Elephas maximus indicus: one gene and its partner. The protein of the gene in region 2 interacts with the protein of the main gene of each other region in a biochemical or structural test. Links are inferred from orthologs where the notes say so. Each region holds a gene or a part of one and is shown on either strand. Other genes may lie near its edges. The genes, in order: UBD and NUB1.

Region 1 (9,575 bases), on a different chromosome or scaffold from region 2:
TCTACACCGTGGTCACACCGGCCCTAAACCCGCTCATCTACACCCTGAGGAATAAAGAGGTGAAGGGGGCGGCTAGGAGGCTCCTGGGGAACGTGGGGCGAGGGCAAGCCAGACAGTGAATCGGGGGTGGGGGAGAGGTGACAGTGTCAGCCCAGGGCCCAAGGATGGAAATGCCCATGGGAGAGTCAGTCCGTTTAGCCTTCAGGCTGTTCATTTCTGGGTGAGAATTTGCAACATTTGTCCTCAGCGAGTCCAAGGTTAATGCGGGAGATCTCTTCCTCCCTTCAGAAATGTTTAGGTTTGTGACACGAAGTGCTATGTCCTCTCTACATATACATTTAAAACCAAACCCATTGCCATAGAGTGGATTCTGACTCACGGTGACCCCAGGTATTACAGAGCAGAACTGCTCCATAGGATTTTCTTGGCTGTAATCTTTAAGGAAGCAGATGGCCTACTTTTTCTTCATGGAGCTGCTGAGTGGGTTTGAACCACCAGCCTTTAGGTTAGCAGCTGACCCTGCTTGCACCACCCAGGGTATATGAACATAAAGGTTTAGGGAGGAGAGATATGGCCTTCCAGGTTTCTCCTAAGCTGATAAAGGGAGGAGGCATGATACCGGGGAGACCTTCCCCATCCCTAGGGGATGCAATAACCACCCCTCAAGACTATGCAGGTAAGATATCAACAGCTAAAGGTGCAACATAATGCTACCTTTAGCTTTCTACCAGTCTGATGGCAGAGGTATGATCTCTTTGGTGACAAAGAGTTTTTCTTTAAAGCAGAGGAAACCTTTGAGGAGACCCAATCCAGGGGAAAAAAAAAAATTATTCTCTCTCTTCAGCGATCTAAGACATAATGCCACCCTAGCCAGGTGACGAATGCCCACCACAGGGCACTTGACTCATAAGTGTGATGAGGAATAACCAATAACCATAAGTATAGTGATTGTGCTGGGTGGGATGAAGGTAGGGAACTCTCTTGTAGGAGATGGTTCTGAGCCAGTTTTAAGGAAGAAACTAGAACTGGTGGGAAAGAAGGAGGACAGGTTTCAGGTTGTTAAAAAAAAAAAAAAGCCAGCTTGCAAGTGATCAGCAGCAAGACATGAAAGAAGGACTGTGAGAGAGAGGAATAAATGGAGGAAGGAGGAGGAAAGAGGGGACTTGATTTCCCAAGAGAGAAGCAGGGACCTGGTGGTGAAGGAAACAGCGAAAAATGCTCCATCAGCCAGAACTTGGGCAGGATATCATTGTCAGCCCAGGGGCCAACGCCTTATCTCTCTCCACCAAACTGATAGCCCCAACCTGCAGAAGACTTGCTAGACATTAAGGCAGGCAGGACAGAGACTGCTCTACAATCCCTCACCTTTCAGAAAGTCCATTCCCACCTGAAGAACATCTGCCCCCAAGGAGCCCCTACTAGAGACATGGCGTCTCTAGATTCCCATGGAAAATATCTCTGTGCCCACTACCATGCCCAGAAAGAAGAACAATTTTAAATCTGTGGGGGACATAGAGGGTAGGTAGGGGCACAGTGCCAGGTTTCATTTTATACCAAATGCCCTTAAATAGAGAAAAAGTAATTTATTAAATTTATAAATTCTCTATGAGTTAAATTGTGACTGTGTCAGAGTAACTAATCCACTTCAAAATGAATCATTTATTTCACTCTTCTCTATGGGTGGAAATTCAGTTTGATTCAATAGTCACTGGGTGATATTATACGTGAAGCACTGGGCTAAACATTCACAGAAACATAGAAATTAGCAAAACCTAGATTCCAATCTAAAACTTACTATATCTTGTTAGATAGGAAAGAAAATAAGAGTTTTTCTATAAATCATAGGAAACCAAGAAGGAATTCAATTGTAAGCTGGTTTTGAACGCTGTCTCTAGTATGCCTTAGTGATTCGTTTTCTTTTCTCGGCGATACCATACATAATCCAGCCACTTAATTGTGTTGGAATCAAAGAATCAGAGTTGGAAAAATATTCCCTCCCCACCTCATCCTGAATCTTTTTCTGTTTATTCCCTTTTATAAAATTTTGGAAAACCATCAAAAGATACGTTCAGTGAGTAAAAGCTAAAAGAAAGTAAGCTCTTTTCCTCCTGATGTCACCCCATCCCTAGAGTGGTCAACCCCCAATGCAGTGGTGTGTCAGGAAAAGCAAATTGCCCTTTCTGATGCCGTAATCTGCCATAGTCTTCCCATCTTCCAGTTTCTTTCCATTGCAAGTCACAATCTGGGTCTCAGGAGTTATAGCAGTCTTCAACTCGATCATCTTTTTCACCTGGGCCACTGAGCTGGACCGCCGCACCTGAAGGAGATGTCTCTGCCCTTCATCACCTGACTCCACCAGAACCATGGGCAGCTCCTCATCACTGGGCTTCACCACCTTCAGAGTGAGGTGGATGGTCTTCTCCTTGTCAATGCCATAAGACGAAAGTGTTCTCTGGGGCTGTAGGGTTTTCGAGCCCAGCAGAAGGATCTGGTCCTGCACGGGAACCTTGGTCTTGGACCGGACATGTTCATTGATCTTCTTTACTCTGTCATCCTGGTCGGCAGTGAAGGTCATCAATTTCCATTCCTCAGAATGGACATTCACCTGGGCAGGGCAATAAGAGTCAAGAGACAGTTGCCTAAAATGTCTGCCACCCTTTACACCCCTGTCCCCCCACCTTAATTGCTCCAGCCCTTCCCCTGCCTGTCAGGTCCTCCCACTACTTTCCACCAATCTGTGTCTTTCACTTTCTTGGAACATCTCTTTTGGAACTGCTTGTTTAAAATACAAAGAAGGAAATAAGTCTTATGACTTTATAACCACACCTCTTCTTCATCCTAAAATATAATTAAAAACAAGTAAATCCAACTACAAAGCTTCAAAATGTGTACACTATATTCTAAAATCAACTCCTACTGACAGTTTTCAAGACTTGGCAGCCTCACTGGATACTCACAGGTCTGCCTCCCTTGACTACTCTAGAAGGAAACCCTGGTTAGGATGCATAATCTCTGTACTGTTAGTTTCCTTTTTAATGTCCATTGATTTATAATGACAACTCATATATTACGGTGGCACTGTGTTCAAAATGGCTTGGTAATCTATGTTTCCTGTGTTTTTGTATCTGCCTATTGTAGAATATGATCTTCTTTAATAAGACCAGACCTCATTCACAGAAGGTAGGAAATATATCCAAGTCTTACTTCAGTACCTGGCAAATTCTGAAAGATGGAAAGTTCACCCTTGTGCTGTCACTTGAAAGCCTTTGAAGACCTCCCTGAGACCCCATTCAAAAATCTCTGCCCAAATGTTCACGATCATTAGCCGTTAGAGAAATGCAAATCAAAACTACAATAAGATTCCATCTCACTTGAACAAGACTGGCATTAATCCAAAAAACACAATAAATGTTGGAGAGGTTACGGAGAGATTGGAACACTTATACACTGCTGGTGGGAATGTAAAATGGTAAAACCACTTTGGAAATCGATTTGGCACTTGCTTTAAAAGCTAGAAATAGAACTACCATATGATCCAGCAATCCCGCTCCTTGAAATGTATCCTAGAGAAATAAGAGCCTTTATACAAACAGATATATGCACACCCATGTTCATTGCAGCACTGTTTACAATAGCAAAAACATGGAAGCAACCAAGGTCCAATCAATGGATGAATGGATAAATAAATTATGGTATATTCACACAAAGGAGCACTATGCATCAGTAAAGAACAGTGATGAATCTGTGAAACATTCCATAACATGGAGGAATCTGGAAGGCATTATGCTGAGTGAATTAGTCAGTTGCAAAAGGACAAATATTGTATACAACCACTACTATGAGAACTCGAGAAATAGTTTAAACAGAGAAGAAAATATTTTTTGATGGTTAAGAGAGGGGAAGGGAGGAAGGAAGGAAGAGGGGTACTCACTAATTAGATAGTAGGTAAGAACTACTTTAGGTGAAGGGAAAGATAACACACAATACAGAAGAGGTCAGCACAATTGGACTAAACCAAAAGCAAAGAAGTTTCCTGAATAAACCGAATGCTTCGAAGGCCAGCGTAGCAGGGTAGGGGTCTGGGGACCCTGGTTTCAGGGGATGTCTAAGTCAATTGGCATAATAAAATCTATTAAGAAAACATTCTGCATCCCACTTTGGAGAGTGGCGTCTGGGGTCTTAAACACTAGCAAGCAGCCATCTAAGGTGCATCAATTAGTCTCAACCCACCTGGACCAAAGGAGAATGAAGAACACCAAGGTAATTATGAGCCCAAGAGACAGAAAGGGCCACATAAACCAATAACTATGTCAGCCTGAGACCAAAAGAACTAGATGGTGCCCGGCTACAACTGATGACTGCCCTGATAGGGAACACAACAGATAACCCCTGAGGGAGCAGGAGAGCTGTGGGATGCAGAACCCAAATTTTCTTAAAAAGACCAGACTTAATGATCTGACTGAGACTAGAAGGACCCCAGTGGTCATGGCCCCCAGACCTTCTGTCAGCCCAAGACAGGAACCATTCCCAAAGCCAACTCTTCAGACAGGGATTGGACTGGACAATAGGATAGAAAAAGATGCTGGTGAAGAATGAGCTCCTTGGATCAAGTAGACCCTTGAGGCTATGTTGGCATCTCCTATCTGGAGGGGAGATGAGAGGGCAGAGGGGGCCAGAAGTTGGCAGCAGGGACATGAAAAGAGAGAGTGGAGGGAAGGAGTGGGCTGTCTTATTGGGGGAGAGCAATTAGGAGTATATAGCAAGGTGTTTATAAATTTTTGTTTGAGAGACTGACTTTATTTGTAAACTTTCACTTAAAGCACGATAAATTTTTTTTTTTAAATCTCCTCCCAACTTAGGCATTGCTAATACTGTTTGACATTCTTTCACTAAAATGTCACTCCTCTGTGTTAAGCATCCCAGATGCTCTTCATAATGCATCTATTCTCATATAAAGTAATATATTAGGTCATTAACAACTCAAGATAAATGTGTTTTGTGAAGCCCTTTGGGGAGGAGAGGAAAGCTTAAGAGCCCTGGACCGCCAAATGGGATAGAGAGGAAGGGGCTCAAGAAAACACTTCCATAATTTCAAATCTTGCCAGCTTCATTGAGCACCCCCACTCCCTACCATTTATCCCTAACAGTGGCCAGTCCAAGGTCTGACACAAAGGAGAACTCAGAATCTGAAGGACCAGCTTCTCTACACAGGACCCTTCCTCTCATTGTGCAGATATCAATCCTATCCTCTTTTTTTCAAGATGCCTTCCCAGCCACCCTGCCTTCCCAAGTACCACCCTCAGTCCAGTTACTGAAGTTTCTCCCCAAAGCTTGGAAATACCTTTCCTTTCTCCACCTCCTTTATCAAATCCCAACTTACACAGAGGCAGGACGCATTGGGAGCCATCGCTGCAGTCAAGAGAGCAGAAACAGGAAACACAAAAGGGACCTCAACTGGAGCTTATATGCAAGCAAGGGAGTTGGAAATCCCCTGCCCAGATAGCTTTCCTGTGCCCTTTGTTCTTGCAAGTTCTCAGAAATCTTTCACTTTTGCTGAGGTGTGGTTAGTTAATAAGCAAAGAATACTTTCTGATCAGGTTCTTCTCGCCTCAGCCAATCTATTTGCATTCTTTGTTGAAAACATGGGATGGTCCTTTCTGGCCCTGTTTTTTCCCTGATTAACACCCCTACATCCTCACTCCCAATCCTGATTTGTGATTGTGCAACCCTCAGCCCTGAGCCCTCACTGGCAATGAAGACCTTTTATGCTCATTAGTCCTCCTCTGATGTTTTTATGACTCCTCCATCAGTCAGAGTCAGGGCTTTTCCTGAGAGCAAGGCTGCCTAGGAGAGGACAGTCAGGGGTGGTATGGAGTGATGTGTCTTGCGAGCAGCCTATTCACAGTGGGCTGACAGAAAGTGAGACATTTTTTGAGAGGGCATAGGATAAATAACCCTCGACTGAGAGGATACATGAGTTCAAGTCCCAAGGTTACCTTGGTATATTATCTTGGCCAAGTCTGTTCATCTCCTTAGATACTGGCTTCCTGATCCATAAGATGAGATGATTGGAGATGATTCTTAAGTGTCTTCCAGGCTCAAAAAACTTTGTTTATAAAATGTCCTTACAAAAAGAACTTTGGAATACTGGGTCTTGAGCTAGTCAGCACACTTCCTAACATGTCCCAGAATCTGCAAACCAAGCTCAGTACTTGAAAACAATTCAAAGCCAAAAATCAAATGCCGACTCCCACCTTTCACATACCAATCACAAGCCAACAGAATCATCCACATCCATTCTCACACCACAGTGCCTCTATTTCCCCACCTTTCCCCCAGGACTCTCCCCACTGCTGTGATCTCAGAGAAAACCTAAAGGTACTGCTCACTCCCTTCATCTTGACATTTGGGTTGAGACAAAAAAGAAATGCATTAGCTCTGTGCTCTCAGGAAATTTACTCTGCCACTGTGATTCTTCTAGCATTCCAAAGTAATCATTGCCCTCTCCCAAACTCTCAAGACATTGCCACGGAACAAATTTTTTTGAAAGAATTTATTTAAAGCATTTCAATTTTTTTTTTTTTGCAAAGTCTATAACAATGCCAAGTTATCATCTTTGTTTGATATGCTGTCAATGGCCATTTATTGTACCTTCACTCACTAATAGGTCTCAGATGACCCCATTTTATTCTAGGGGTTTCCATCCTGGAGAACTTGAATTTATAGAGGTGTCCATGTAGAGTAATGGGATCCAAGAGCTCATTCCAGTATTTCAAAAAGTACTATACGTACCATGTTATTTTAATGCTTGTTGTATAATCAGTTAATAAGATTAGAAAAACTATTACTTAAATGTATTTTGTGGGGTGAACATACTTTTTTAAGCACATAGAATGGAACAGACTGGAAACTATTGGCCCTTGCTATTCTTCTTTCAGATATCTCACCCAGTTCCCATTGTTCCAAGTGTGTTTAGAAACCAACACTTGAGGGTTGTGCCTTTGACGGCTACACCGCAGAGAACAATGCCCCTTCATCCATTGTCCAATAGGATTTTGGAATTCTGAAACATCACCAGTGGCTAGGCAGAAAATGTCAGATCAGGTTGAGGGTGACAGGAAAAGAGAAAGCCTTTCAACAGGGTAGAGATGGGGGAAGGGCCTGGAAAGGGGGAAAGGAAAAGTTATACAAGCCCAGACTTGTGTGAACTGCTTTTCACTTTTCAGACTTTATTTGCATCCATTACCGTCTTAGATTTTCATGTTATTCCTCAGAAGGCAAGAGAGAGAGTAAGTGGATAAAGTCTAATTAAAATTAAACCATTCTCTTCTCACACCCTTCCTGTCTTTGCCCTTCTCTCCTCAGTAGCCTATGTCTGCATCTTGGAGTCAATGTCTGCATTGTCAGGAACAGAAAGGAAACTTAACCAGAACTCCAGGGGGAGGAGCTCAGTAATGACATTTCCCAGGAATTACATTTGCACAGACCAGAGCTTCAGACCTGTAGGTTTAGCAGCTTCTGTGCACTGTTCCCTGAATTCCTTGCATATCCTTGAACACACAAAGCTCTCTATCACCCCCAGGCCTTTTAGCATACCATTCCCTCTGCGTGGCCGGCCTTTCCCTCCAACAGCATGAATTTATAAGAATGCACAGTATAAGCAGCATCTCCTCCAGAAAGCCTTCTCTGACTCTCTTCTTCCCTATTCTGGATTATGTGCCCATCTTCTGTCCTCCCATTCTCCCTGCGCAAGCCTCTCAGAACCTGTTTCTCCTTCTTCTTTCCTGTCGTCTCCAGTAAACAGTAGAAATCTTGTGGATCCGGATTATGTCTTAATTAACTTGTATCCTCAACACTGTTCCACATGGTGTCTAACACAGTAAGTTATTGTTGTTGGGTGCCAAGTAGGCAACTCTGACTGATCATGACCCCAAGTGACAGAGCAGAACTGCCCCACAGGGCTTTCTAGGCTGTAATCTTTATGGAAGTAGACAGCCAGGTCTTTCTCCCCTGGAGCAACTGGGTGAGTTCGAACCACTTAATATTTACTAAATGCATGAATGAATTGATAAATCATTGAATAATTAAGTGAACAACAAAAATATATTTAGTGCTAAATGTTTAGTGGATACTATATATATTTCAGGGACTACCAAGATATTAAGGAGTTCTGGGAGTAGTGGCTAAGTTTTACAGCTGCTAACCAAAGGGTCGGCAGTTCAAATCTGCCAGGGGCTCCTTGGAAACTCTATGGGGCAGTTCTACTCTGTCCTATAGTGTCGCTATGAGTCAGAATCGACTCAATGGCACTGAGTTTGGTTTTGTTTTTTGGTGGCATAATTGTTAAGCACTGGGCAGCTAACTGAAAGGTCAGGGGTTCTAACATACCAGCAGCTCCACAGGAGAAAAGACCTGACAATCTGCTCTCCCTATGGGGAAGTTCTACTCTGTTCTGTAGGGTTGCTATGAGTCGGAATCAACTTGAGGGCACACAACAACAACAACCCAACACCCGAACCAAATCCATTGCTGACCAGTCGATTCCAATTCATAGCAACCCTACAGGACAAAGTAGAACTGCCCATGGGGTTTCCAAGGCTGTAAATCTTTATGGAAGGAGACTGCCACATCTTTTTCCTGTGGAGTGGCTGGTGGGTTCAAACCCCAACCTTTCAGTTAGCAGCTGAGGACTTAACCACTGCACCACCACAGCTCCACAACAACCCAAGATATTATTAAATGTTACATCATTTATTGTCTCAGTAGTGTAGCCAGATAATTATCAGTGTCCTTGTTGACATAAGCAAAATGCTAACTCGCCACAGTCATATTAGTAGCAGCTGGTAAGCAAGTGTTAAGATGCAAACCTATAATTATAGTCCATGTCTTGTTATGATCATATTGTGTCGCTTCAGTGAAAAGAAAAAGTGCATGCACATGCGTACCTTGTTACAGGAAATGTACAAATTTGAGGAAGGCAAAGAAAAGCAGTCAGGGAGCTACAGAGAGTCTTGAGATGCATGAAAGCAAGAAGAGGTTCAAAGTCTAAGAGAGGGCAGGCATATACCTGGATGGTAGGATCTGCCTGGAGCACCACCACCCTTCCCCACTTGGCAGAGGTGAGCCAAGAGCTCAAGAGTACAAGAGTCAAAGCCTGAAGGAAGGTGGAAGCCTGGTGGAAAGGTCAGCTAGAACTCTTCTCCCAGAACTGTGAAATTTCAAGACTGCCTGATAACACTAACTCCCATCATCACGAAGTTCCATAGGCTTCCCCTGGACCTCCTCGACCGTTAGGGCAAAGCAAAAACTAAAGTCCCGAGGTCTCCATTCCCAGGCAGGGTCTTAGAGGTTGGTCAGTCACCCCTTCTCGTCAATTAAAGTGAGCCTCCCTCCCCTTACAAGCTTCACAAATCAGGAATAGATATCTCCACTGGAAACTCACCAGCATCATGCTGTTCCTGATTGGCCATACACTGGAGTGGCAACAGAGAAGCCACCCACAGGAGTTGGGGATTTTCAGCATAAGGTGCCTGCGAGGGCAAGACAAAGGTCCCTCCTGGGAAAAACTAATTCTG
Region 2 (9,575 bases):
ATAGGACTTGGCCTGCCACCTCCAACAACAGGGCCACCTCGATGAGCAGAAGACACTTCACCTCACCGCACAGTGAGGTTATGACAAGAGGGAGCAAGGAGCCATGTTTTTGGGACCTCTTCATTCTCCACTGGCCAGGCTTAAAATGAAAACCTAGAATCACTAGCAACACCTATGAGGCTAACCAAATCTACTCAGCCTTCTGATTGGTAGTTTGGTTTCCCGAATACTTGACACTAGCGAAGGAGAGTTCTAAGTTTATCACCTTTCAATTCATAAAGTGGCAGGCTGAGATACATTCTTTTCTTTTTCTCATAAAGCTCTTTATTTCCCCTAGAATTTTTTAACTGCTTATTGAGACATTAATTTACATACCATAAGTTCACCTGTTTGAAGTGTGTGATTCAACAGTTTCTAAACATTCACGGTTATACAACTATCACCATAATCCAATTTCAGAATATTTTCATACAAAATCATAAATATGTGGTCTTTTGTGACCGGCTTTTTTCACTTAACATAATGTTACAGCACGAATCCGAGCTTCATTCTTTTTCACTGCTTACCAGTTTTCCACCATATAGACATCTAACGTTTTATTTATCCACTCATCAGCTGATGGGACATTTGGGTTGTTTCCACTTTTTGGCTGTTGTGACTAATGCTGCTATGAACATCTCTGTTTCAGTTTTTTGTGTGGACACAGTTTTCCTTTCTCTTGCAGCAGAAATGCTACTCCTGCGGTGACCCTGAGACATACAGACTTTTATTTCTTTTAAGAATAATTAGCAGTGATCGGTCCTGAAATGCCAGCCACTCTGGTGCCCAGACTCAGTAACATTTCTGGACATGAACTACTGAAGACCTGGCGCTGCCGTAAAGGGGCCCTGCCCAGTACCTCAACCCTGCTGGAGCACTAAGCTTACCCCTGTGACCTCCATCCGAATAGAAAAAAGGATGAATGCCTTTGTGATGTGTTATACCACGAGAGCTTTAGAACACTGAAGGACCTTACTCCCCATTATTTCTAAGCTTTTCCTTGAACTATAGAAAAGATGAGAACGTGAATATAGCTTCACGAAATTGTGGAGGTCTCAAGAGGAAGAAATCTACCTTGTAAGCGTCCTAGTTTAAGAGTTCCTAAAAGTAACTTTTAAGTCAATCAATGTTCAACATGTAAAATAACTTAAAAGAATTATAAATTTGGATGGCAGTTTTTTAAAAAATGACGATTTATTCGATCACTTCATTAAATGACGTACATACGTAAATTTGGAGAAATTACTTACTTTTCTTAGTCTTGGAGGTAAAAATACCTCGATTGTAGCAATTCCTGTTGTTTTATAATTTTCATTTCCTGTTCCACGTTCAATTGCTTTCTGCCGTATTTCTTCTATTATTTTTTCTACCTCATTTTCACAACATTCTAGTTTGTCAGAGTATTTCTTAGCAAGGTCCTATCAAAAAAATCAGAAAATGCAGATCGGTAGAGAACCAACTCAAAAAAAGAAAAGCCAAACACAGACCAGCACATGCAGAACTCGAAGGCAATAAGCTCTGCTGAGGGGCAGTCACCCCTGTTGTAGTGAAACCCAGTCTTTAGGTTGACCTCATGCAAGGTGTGGAGAATTTAGAGATGATCCAGGGAAAAATGAAAACAAATAAAAGCTAAAAAAAAACAGGCCCAACAGGAAAAGTCAAAATAATACTGGGATTATTCCGGGGAAAAGAAGAGCAGGCTAAGACTTAAAAAAAAAAAAAGATGACTACAAATATATACATATAAAAAAAAAATTTTTAAGAAATAGTGAACTCCAAACAATCAACAAGTACTTTAAAACATAGATGAGAATGTGAGGGAGCAGGGAACCAGGAGAACAGAAATACTGAGAATGTTCACACGTTGTGACGAACGTCATCAAAGTCACTGAACAGTGTGTATAGAAACTGTTGAATGGAAACCGAAACTGCTGGGTAAACCTTCACCGAAAACACAATAAAATATTATTTTTTTTTAAAAAAAAAAGAAACAGTTAACTGTTCACCTCCACTGAAGGAAAATAAGGGAAGAAATGGAGAAAACGTTCTAACTAAAGTGAGAACAAGTCCGGTTAGATTTAAATACCACTCTTAAAATTCTGAGTCACTTGTACTGGTTGTGAAATCATTTGCCAGGGAGAACTTTAGGTTTGGGAAAAAGAATTTGGAAGATTTAAGGGGCCTCAAAAATGAACCTGAACCAGTTATTACTTAAAGTGAAGTCATTATGTTCCCTCCCAAAGAAGCTTTGCATTTGGGGTTTAAAGGCTCATAGAGGCATCACACTCCATAAAACAGTAACAGCTGAAAGACACTCAAGTCCCAGGTTTTGTCCAGATTTCTAATAAGGATACTATGCAGCAAAGACTTATAATAGGGAGGGATGTTCGTGATATCTATAAAGCTACATAACAGGAGGAGAGTATTGTATTTTAAAAATAACATAAACCCCTTTGTAATACACATATATTTTAATATTCACATAGGAAAACCATGAAACAATATACCACTAATGATGATATGTTTAATTATTTTTTAAATGTATTATTTAAATTTTTAATTATATACATACATTTTTAAACCCAAGAGTATATATTATTTTTAGCACCAGAAAACACCTAAGACTTTTTTTAACTTCCTGTAATTCTCTGGAAAATCTAAATTTCTTAGTTTCTGAGTCAAGATTATAACAAGCAAATTCAGAAGCAAGGTCACCGGTGGGTTGCAAAAATTAAAAGTGAGACCTATCAGGGACAGAAGAGACAACTCTAAGTCATCTTCTGAGTGCATCACTGTGTCACAGTGCAGGCCACTCTGCTGCCCTCACGATAACCCCCTCCTCATATTCAGGATTCTCCAACTGAAAAAGCAGATGAGTACATGATAGGATTTTCTCATATAACAGGGTTCTATCAAAAATGATTACTGCTTCCCTGCTTTGAAAAGCAGGGAAATGTCAGCTTCTAGAAATTTCACTCATGTAAAATAAAGCCATCTCTGATGACGCCATTGAAAATTTGAGGCCTAACTTCTAGAAAAATATGTTTTGGGAAAATGAACACTGACAGCCATAGTGTAAAAAAGTGAGGGGGGGAGAATCGTTTTACAGACCAAGACGGCAAGGAGAATTGAGAATCAACCAAGATACTATTACCCTAAAAACATAACCAATAACTTACACTGGAACGGCTGAGCTGTCCAGGCAAAATTAGTTTCTAGATTAACACACCTGAGAAATTAGATGACAATGTCATCTAAACAAAATCTTATTAAACAAAAATAAGCTTGTAAACTCCTAGTCAAAGTAGGTACTTGCTTGTCACTGATGCTTCTGGTTATGCCAAAAGTTTATATGGCTGTGCCTGACAATTTCCGGAGATTTCAGAACCTGATTTACCAAGGAGATTTATAACACTGCTAGTTATTTATGTCTTAGAAGAAAAATACCTTCAATGCCAAGCCAACTTCTTTATTTTCATTTGTATACGGAGGTTTCCAAAGTTGAATTCGGTCTTCCCTTAAAAACTGGGTTAATTTTGCTTGAAGATATTTCTTTTGTGCCATCCTTGAAAGCAAAACAATATAACAATAAAATTCCACAGCACATTTCAAACTGTTTTATAACCGACCTAATATGTTGAGGTGTTTTGTAAGACAAGCAGACGTCCTTCCCATTCCTCCCTCTGCAGTTTAAACTCAATTACCCAGTACCATTGAGTCAATTCTGACTCACAGTGGCCCTGCAGAACAGAATACAACTGCCCTATAGGGTCTCCAAGGCTGTAGTCTTTATGGAAGCAGACCGCCACATCTTTCTCCCCTGGAGCAGCTGCCGGATTTGAACTTTCAGTTCTTCAGTTAACAGCCAAGCGCTTTGCTGCTGCACCACCAGGGCCTCCTTTAATCTAAATTACTAAGGTTTTAACCAGCCCCAAACTTCTCTTTAAAAATATAAACATGTGGTAGATAAGAACTACTTTAGGTGAAGGGAAAGACAACACACAATACAGAGGAGGTCAGCACAACTGGACTGAACCAAAAGCAAAAAATTTCCTGAATAAACTGAATGCTTCGAAGGCCAGTATAGCAGGGGCAGGGGTTTGGGGACCATGAATTCAGGGGACATCTAAGTCAACTGGCATAATAAAATCTATTGAGAACATTCTGCATCCCACTTTAAAGAGTGGCGTCTGCAGTCTTAAACATTAGCAAGCAGCCATCTAAGATGCATCAATTGGTCTCAACCCACCTGGATCAAAGGAGAATGAAGAACACCAAGGACGCAAGGTAATTACGAGCCCAAGAGACAAAAAGGGCCACATGAACCAAAGACTACATCAGCCTGAGACCAGAAGAACTAGATGGTGCCCGGCTACAACCGATGACTGCCCTGACAGAGAACACATCAGAGAACCCCTGAGGGAGCAGGAGAGCAGTGGGATGCAGACCCCAAATTCTCATAAAAAGACCAGACTTAATGCTCTGACTGAGACTAGAAGGACCCCGGTGGTCATGGCCCCCAGACCTTCTGTTGGCCCAGGACAGGAACCATTCCCGAAGCCAACTCTTCAGACATGGATTGGACTGGACAATGGGTTGGAGAGGGATGCTGGTGAGGACTGAGCTTCTTGGATCAGGTGGGCACTTGGGACTATGTTGGCATCTCCTGCCTGGAGGGGAGATGAGAGGGTGGAGGCGGTTAGAAGCTAGAGAAATGGACATGAAAAGAGAGTGGAGGGAGAGAGCGGGCTGTCTCATTAGGGGGAGAGTAATTGCGAGGGTGTAGCAAGGTGTATATACGTTTTTAGGTGAGAGACTGACTTGATTTGTAAACTTTCACTTAAAGCACAATAAAAATTATAAAAAATACAAACACACACACAGATGTACTATTTCAAAATTACTAATATGCAGCAAGGTTTACTACACTTTTCTATTTCTTAATATATTATTCTCCTAGGAGAAAAATGAAACTTAACTATTAAGCATTATATCATACAATGACTTGTGACAATGAACTTTTATAAGCAAATCAACACAGAGCTTGTACATTCTTTTATAATTTAATACAAAACAATAGGTCAACCACTCTGGTAGTTAAAGAAAAGCTATCTTGAACCGTGAACTACCAACAGTAAATATTCTCTATACTGAATTTTTTAATTAAAAAAGTTTTATAACACTAGCAAAATTTTTCATAATATTTTGTGGTAACAGCACACTAACACATAAGCTATTCAGTTACAACACTTTTTGGGTCATCATTTTACAGCCAAGAAAACTGAGGTCCTAGGTTTGGAAAATGACTTGGCCAAGGTCACAGCATTAGGCAGAGTCATAAGCAGCTCTGGAACCTCTGCCTACGATACTGGACTCTGCATTTTGAAAGGCAACCGCCTGCTGCTTTTCTGTTCTCTGTTGGTAATGCCACTCTCCTGAAAAGCCACAGCCCACAGTGGAAGTGTCCATTCATCTCACTCTAAAGCAGCCATTCAGTGGTGTGGGTGAGGCTGCTAATGAGGAGACATCTGACAAGCGTGTCCCGTGGCACAGTGGTTAAGAGATACAGCTACTGATCAAAAGGTTGCCAGTTCAAATCCACCAGCTGCTCCTTGGAAACCCCATGGGGCAGTTCTACCCTGTCCTATAGATTCACTATGAGTTGCAATCGACTTGACGCAACGGGTTTCAAGATCAGACAAGCAGTAAGAAAAGTGAAAAGTTACTAGCTCCTGGCTGAGAGGAAGAGAGAATGGGGTTATTGCCTAAGGGGCACTGAGTTTCAGTTTGTGGCGATGAAAACTTTCGGAAATACATTGATGATGGCTGCACAACATGGTGAATGTAATGAATGTCACCGAAATGGACATTTAAGAATGGTTAAAATGGGAAACTTTTTGTCATCTATGTTATTACAATAAAATGATTTTTTTTTCTTTCATTATAAGTAACTTTCTTTTTTCCATTGAAGGTCACTATTCCACACCCTCAAAACCCAATTCACCTGATTTTTAAATCAGGTCTAGTAACTTAAACGTATGTAATAAACAAAATTTTTTTTTAAAGAAAATCAAAACCTATTTTATGTCAGTTTGGGGGTGAGAAATACGGTCATCAGGATAGGAAGGCACAAAGGGAAGAAGGAATAAACACAGCCAAGGAAGGTGTGTACATCCTGTATGACCCATGAAAGAACCCCAGGTTTTCAAGCACTGACACACCTTTTCGCACAGAAAAGCCCAGCAGTACTTAGGCACCTCACCTTGTCAAGTGCAAACCCCTCGACCACTACACAGTTATACTCCTGACCCCTAAATCTTCAGATTCTGAATAAAATATCACAGCAACCCCAGTGAGGGGAATAACCTCATGGGCTTCTCCGTGGAGCCAGGCCATGTGAAGGTGAACGCACAGCCCTCCCAGACCCCATCCAGGCCACCACCTGGCCAGAGGGCAAACGGGCTTCACAAACCCAGCTGGTCCACACACGCGGCGCAAAGCAACAACTCAGGGTCTACGCTGCGCGAGACCTTTGTAAAAAAATTACTCCACTCTCTGAAACTTACAAAACCTCAGTTACAGATAACAGAGAGAGCCACGACACGAATTTTAAATAAACGAAAAAGGAACACAGTTTAATAGGTCGGTTTTCCACGTTAAGTGGATAACCGAGAAAGCCGGTTTCAGGCCTGCGTACAAAATTCAACCAAAAAAGCTGACACATTAACTGCCCCGAAGTGAAAGTGAAACGTTTCAACCACTCCTTTGAAAGTTTCTTCCACTTTCCTAGGAACTGATCGAGGCTACCTTTATCCAAAGCTTTTCAATTGTATCCAATTTTCTTCTTACCTTTTAAAAGGAGTCCTGAAAGATAATTGTACTGGAAAAGAACAGAAAAGGAAGGAGAAATACAGACTCAGATGGTCAAGGTTCGAAAAAATTCACTATTTATTCATTAAACAGCCAAGAATCTCTGGCTTTGATTGCAAATAAATCCCAAAAGTCATATCTGGAATAATACCGCTACGATTCAAGCTTTCTGCTTGTCTCGTTCCATAAAACCAAAAAACCCCAAACCCGTCGCGGCGGAGTCGGCTCCGAGTCCTAGGTCCCCGAGGGCCAGAGCCGAGCTGCCCCGCAGGGTTTCCAGGCTGCGAGCCTCACGAAGCGGACCGCCACGTCCCTCGCCCGCGACACGCACACACGCCGCGCAAATACACTCATTTCTCTTTCTCCAAAAGGCAACACAACTGAATTTCTTTTAATGCCCCCGCCGCCGCCCCATCCCGCCCAGACCCGGCCGGCCCGCCGCCGCCGCCACAGCCGGCGAGGCTCGGGGACGCGGGGCCGGGAGCCCGCCTGCCCGCCGCCCTCACCTGCGCCACCGCCGCGCCCGCCGCCCGCCGAGTGCCCGGATGCGGCCCGGCCGTTCGTTTTCATTCCGGGTGAGACCGGCCCCGCCGCGCCGCCCGCGCGCCGTCCGGAAGGCCGCCGAGGCGGGGGGCGGAGCTCGGGCCTGGGCCTGGGCCTGCCGCCTGGGCCGCCGGGCCTGGCCTCTCCAACAGCTTTAGGAGAGAACGGGGTACGCCGCAAGGAGAGCCGTCTCCCCCGGAGTGGGGCCGGGACCCCACGGCCCGTGCGCCCTCAGGGTGGGATTAAGAGCTTCCCCCCAACTGGCCGCCCCAGCGTTTGCCAGGCTAAACGCCCTACCTACCTACCCATCGCCGTGATTAGCGACGGTGTCTGCTGAGAGCTGCCTGCTTCCAAAGCGCTCCGCACCCACAGCTCCCAGTTTCTCCCACAGGCCCCAAGACCACAGGTGCTGGGCAGCTGATCTTCCCAGACAGCTCCTGTAAATATCTGGCACCCCAAATGCAGGCTGACTGGAGCCAGGAAGCCCCTGAATTCATCCACTGATGAGGCCACTTCTCACCCTAAAAAGAGACCCACAGAGGGAAGAGTTACCCTATGGGAGCATAAACCCACACTGCTCCCTGACCCTACCATCCCTTGTCCCCTCCATCAGAAAGCACACATTGGCCTTGGTACATAAGTGGAATTTTATACACATTGTTCCGCCACCTTTTTTTCTCATTTAATTACATAGTCTGCTTTACATCTTTGTATGTCACTACGTATAGATTTTCCTGATTCTAATAAATGAATAGCATAACACGTATTTAGTTATGTCTCTGTTGATTAACAGTCTATTCGTAATTATTAGCTATTACAAACAATGCTGTAAAGATACGCATGTATCATTGCAAGTACAGGTATTTCTCAGAATAGATTCCCAGAAATGGAAAAACTACTGCCAAATTGCTTCCCAAAAAGCTGTACGGATTTACGACCCATACACTGTGTACAAAGAGCCCATCTCCCTACAACTTCATCACAACTGGACATTATTGAACTTTTTCCCAATCAAAGAACTATCAAAATTTTTACCTATCTGATGGGAAGGAAAAATGACATTCCATTAATTTGAATTACCTTTTCCTTATCATTAGTGAAGCTGACCACCTCTCCATGTTTGTTTTGTTTTGGCTATTTGCATTCGTTTTCCTTTTACTCACAGCTACGCGTTTCCTATCATTTACCTTTGTTGATGTGTTTCACCGTGCTGGAGTTTACATAGTGAACACTACCAGTCTTCTCCGTTGTGGCTTCTGGTTTTTGCATTTTGGTTACAAAAGCCTATGCTACCCCAAGATTATTAAAATATTCTCCTATATTTCCATTATCATGTACTTTCTATTAATATTCTATATTTTGTTTCTATAAAATTATAGTTTGATGTTTGATGTTTTATGTTTCTAACTTTAATCTTGTCTGTGTTAAATTTTTTTAATATACAAGAGGATCATTTTGTTCATGTAAAGGACTCTATATAGTATGGAATAATTTTTTTAATTAAAAATAGGTATTTTACAGTTAATGGGCCTAATAGTGTGTTTAGTGCTTCTGTGCTACCTCTTACGTGTTGCATAGTACCCGGGGACTTAAAAGCTTGCAAGTATCCATCCAAGGCACAGCAATTGGTTTCTATTCACCTGGAGCAACAGAGGAAGAAAGAGGGTCAGGGATAGGAGGAGGATATGGAATGTGTGGCTAATTGCTTCCATGAAGGATTGCCTCCTTTGCCATGAGACCAGAAGGACTGGACGGTAAGAGTCTGTAGATGAATCCTGATCAAAAGGGGAAAGATGCAGAACAGAATTTCCAATTTTCATGGACTCCAGACTTTTTGAAGCCCCACTGGGCTAGATGACCCCCTGAAACTATCGCCCTGGGATACTCTAAACCAAACGTATTCACTGAACTCTTCTTAAAACCAGATAATAAAAAAAGTTTACCTTAACTAGTAAAATACGCCTGCCTTTAGCATTATGCTCTCTTAAGAGCTATCTATATGGGATCAAGTGACAGCAGCAACTTGAAAGATTAGATTGGAATCTTAGGGAGCAGTCAGTTTATGTGAATGAGGGATGAACAACTCAGAAAAGGAGGGTGAGAAAGGCGGCACAGAAGAATGT

Evidence for each region.
Region 1: the proteins of NUB1 (region 2) and UBD form a complex in vitro, tested with the Homo sapiens proteins (6 studies listed by BioGRID, with this or other methods). The link is inferred for Elephas maximus indicus from reciprocal best matches to the Homo sapiens genes NUB1 and UBD.

Annotation. Positions count from the first base shown.
Region 1 is NC_064819.1:89,212,389-89,221,963, forward strand, and holds the start of UBD (ubiquitin D), read right to left. Parts: upstream 5,455-9,575; 5' UTR 5,408-5,454; coding exon 5,381-5,407; intron 2,606-5,380; coding exon 2,135-2,605; 3' UTR 120-2,134; coding exon of another isoform or gene 1-119. Other genes in the region: putative olfactory receptor 2I1, read left to right, coding at 1-119. UniProt on the Homo sapiens protein: Ubiquitin-like protein modifier which can be covalently attached to target proteins and subsequently leads to their degradation by the 26S proteasome, in a NUB1-dependent manner.
Region 2 is NC_064838.1:11,785,995-11,795,569, forward strand, and holds the start of NUB1 (NEDD8 ultimate buster 1), read right to left. Parts: upstream 4,777-9,575; 5' UTR 4,762-4,776; coding exon 4,565-4,761; intron 3,605-4,564; coding exon 3,487-3,604; intron 1,458-3,486; coding exon 1,290-1,457; intron 1-1,289. UniProt on the Homo sapiens protein: Specific down-regulator of the NEDD8 conjugation system. Recruits NEDD8, UBD, and their conjugates to the proteasome for degradation. Isoform 1 promotes the degradation of NEDD8 more efficiently than isoform 2.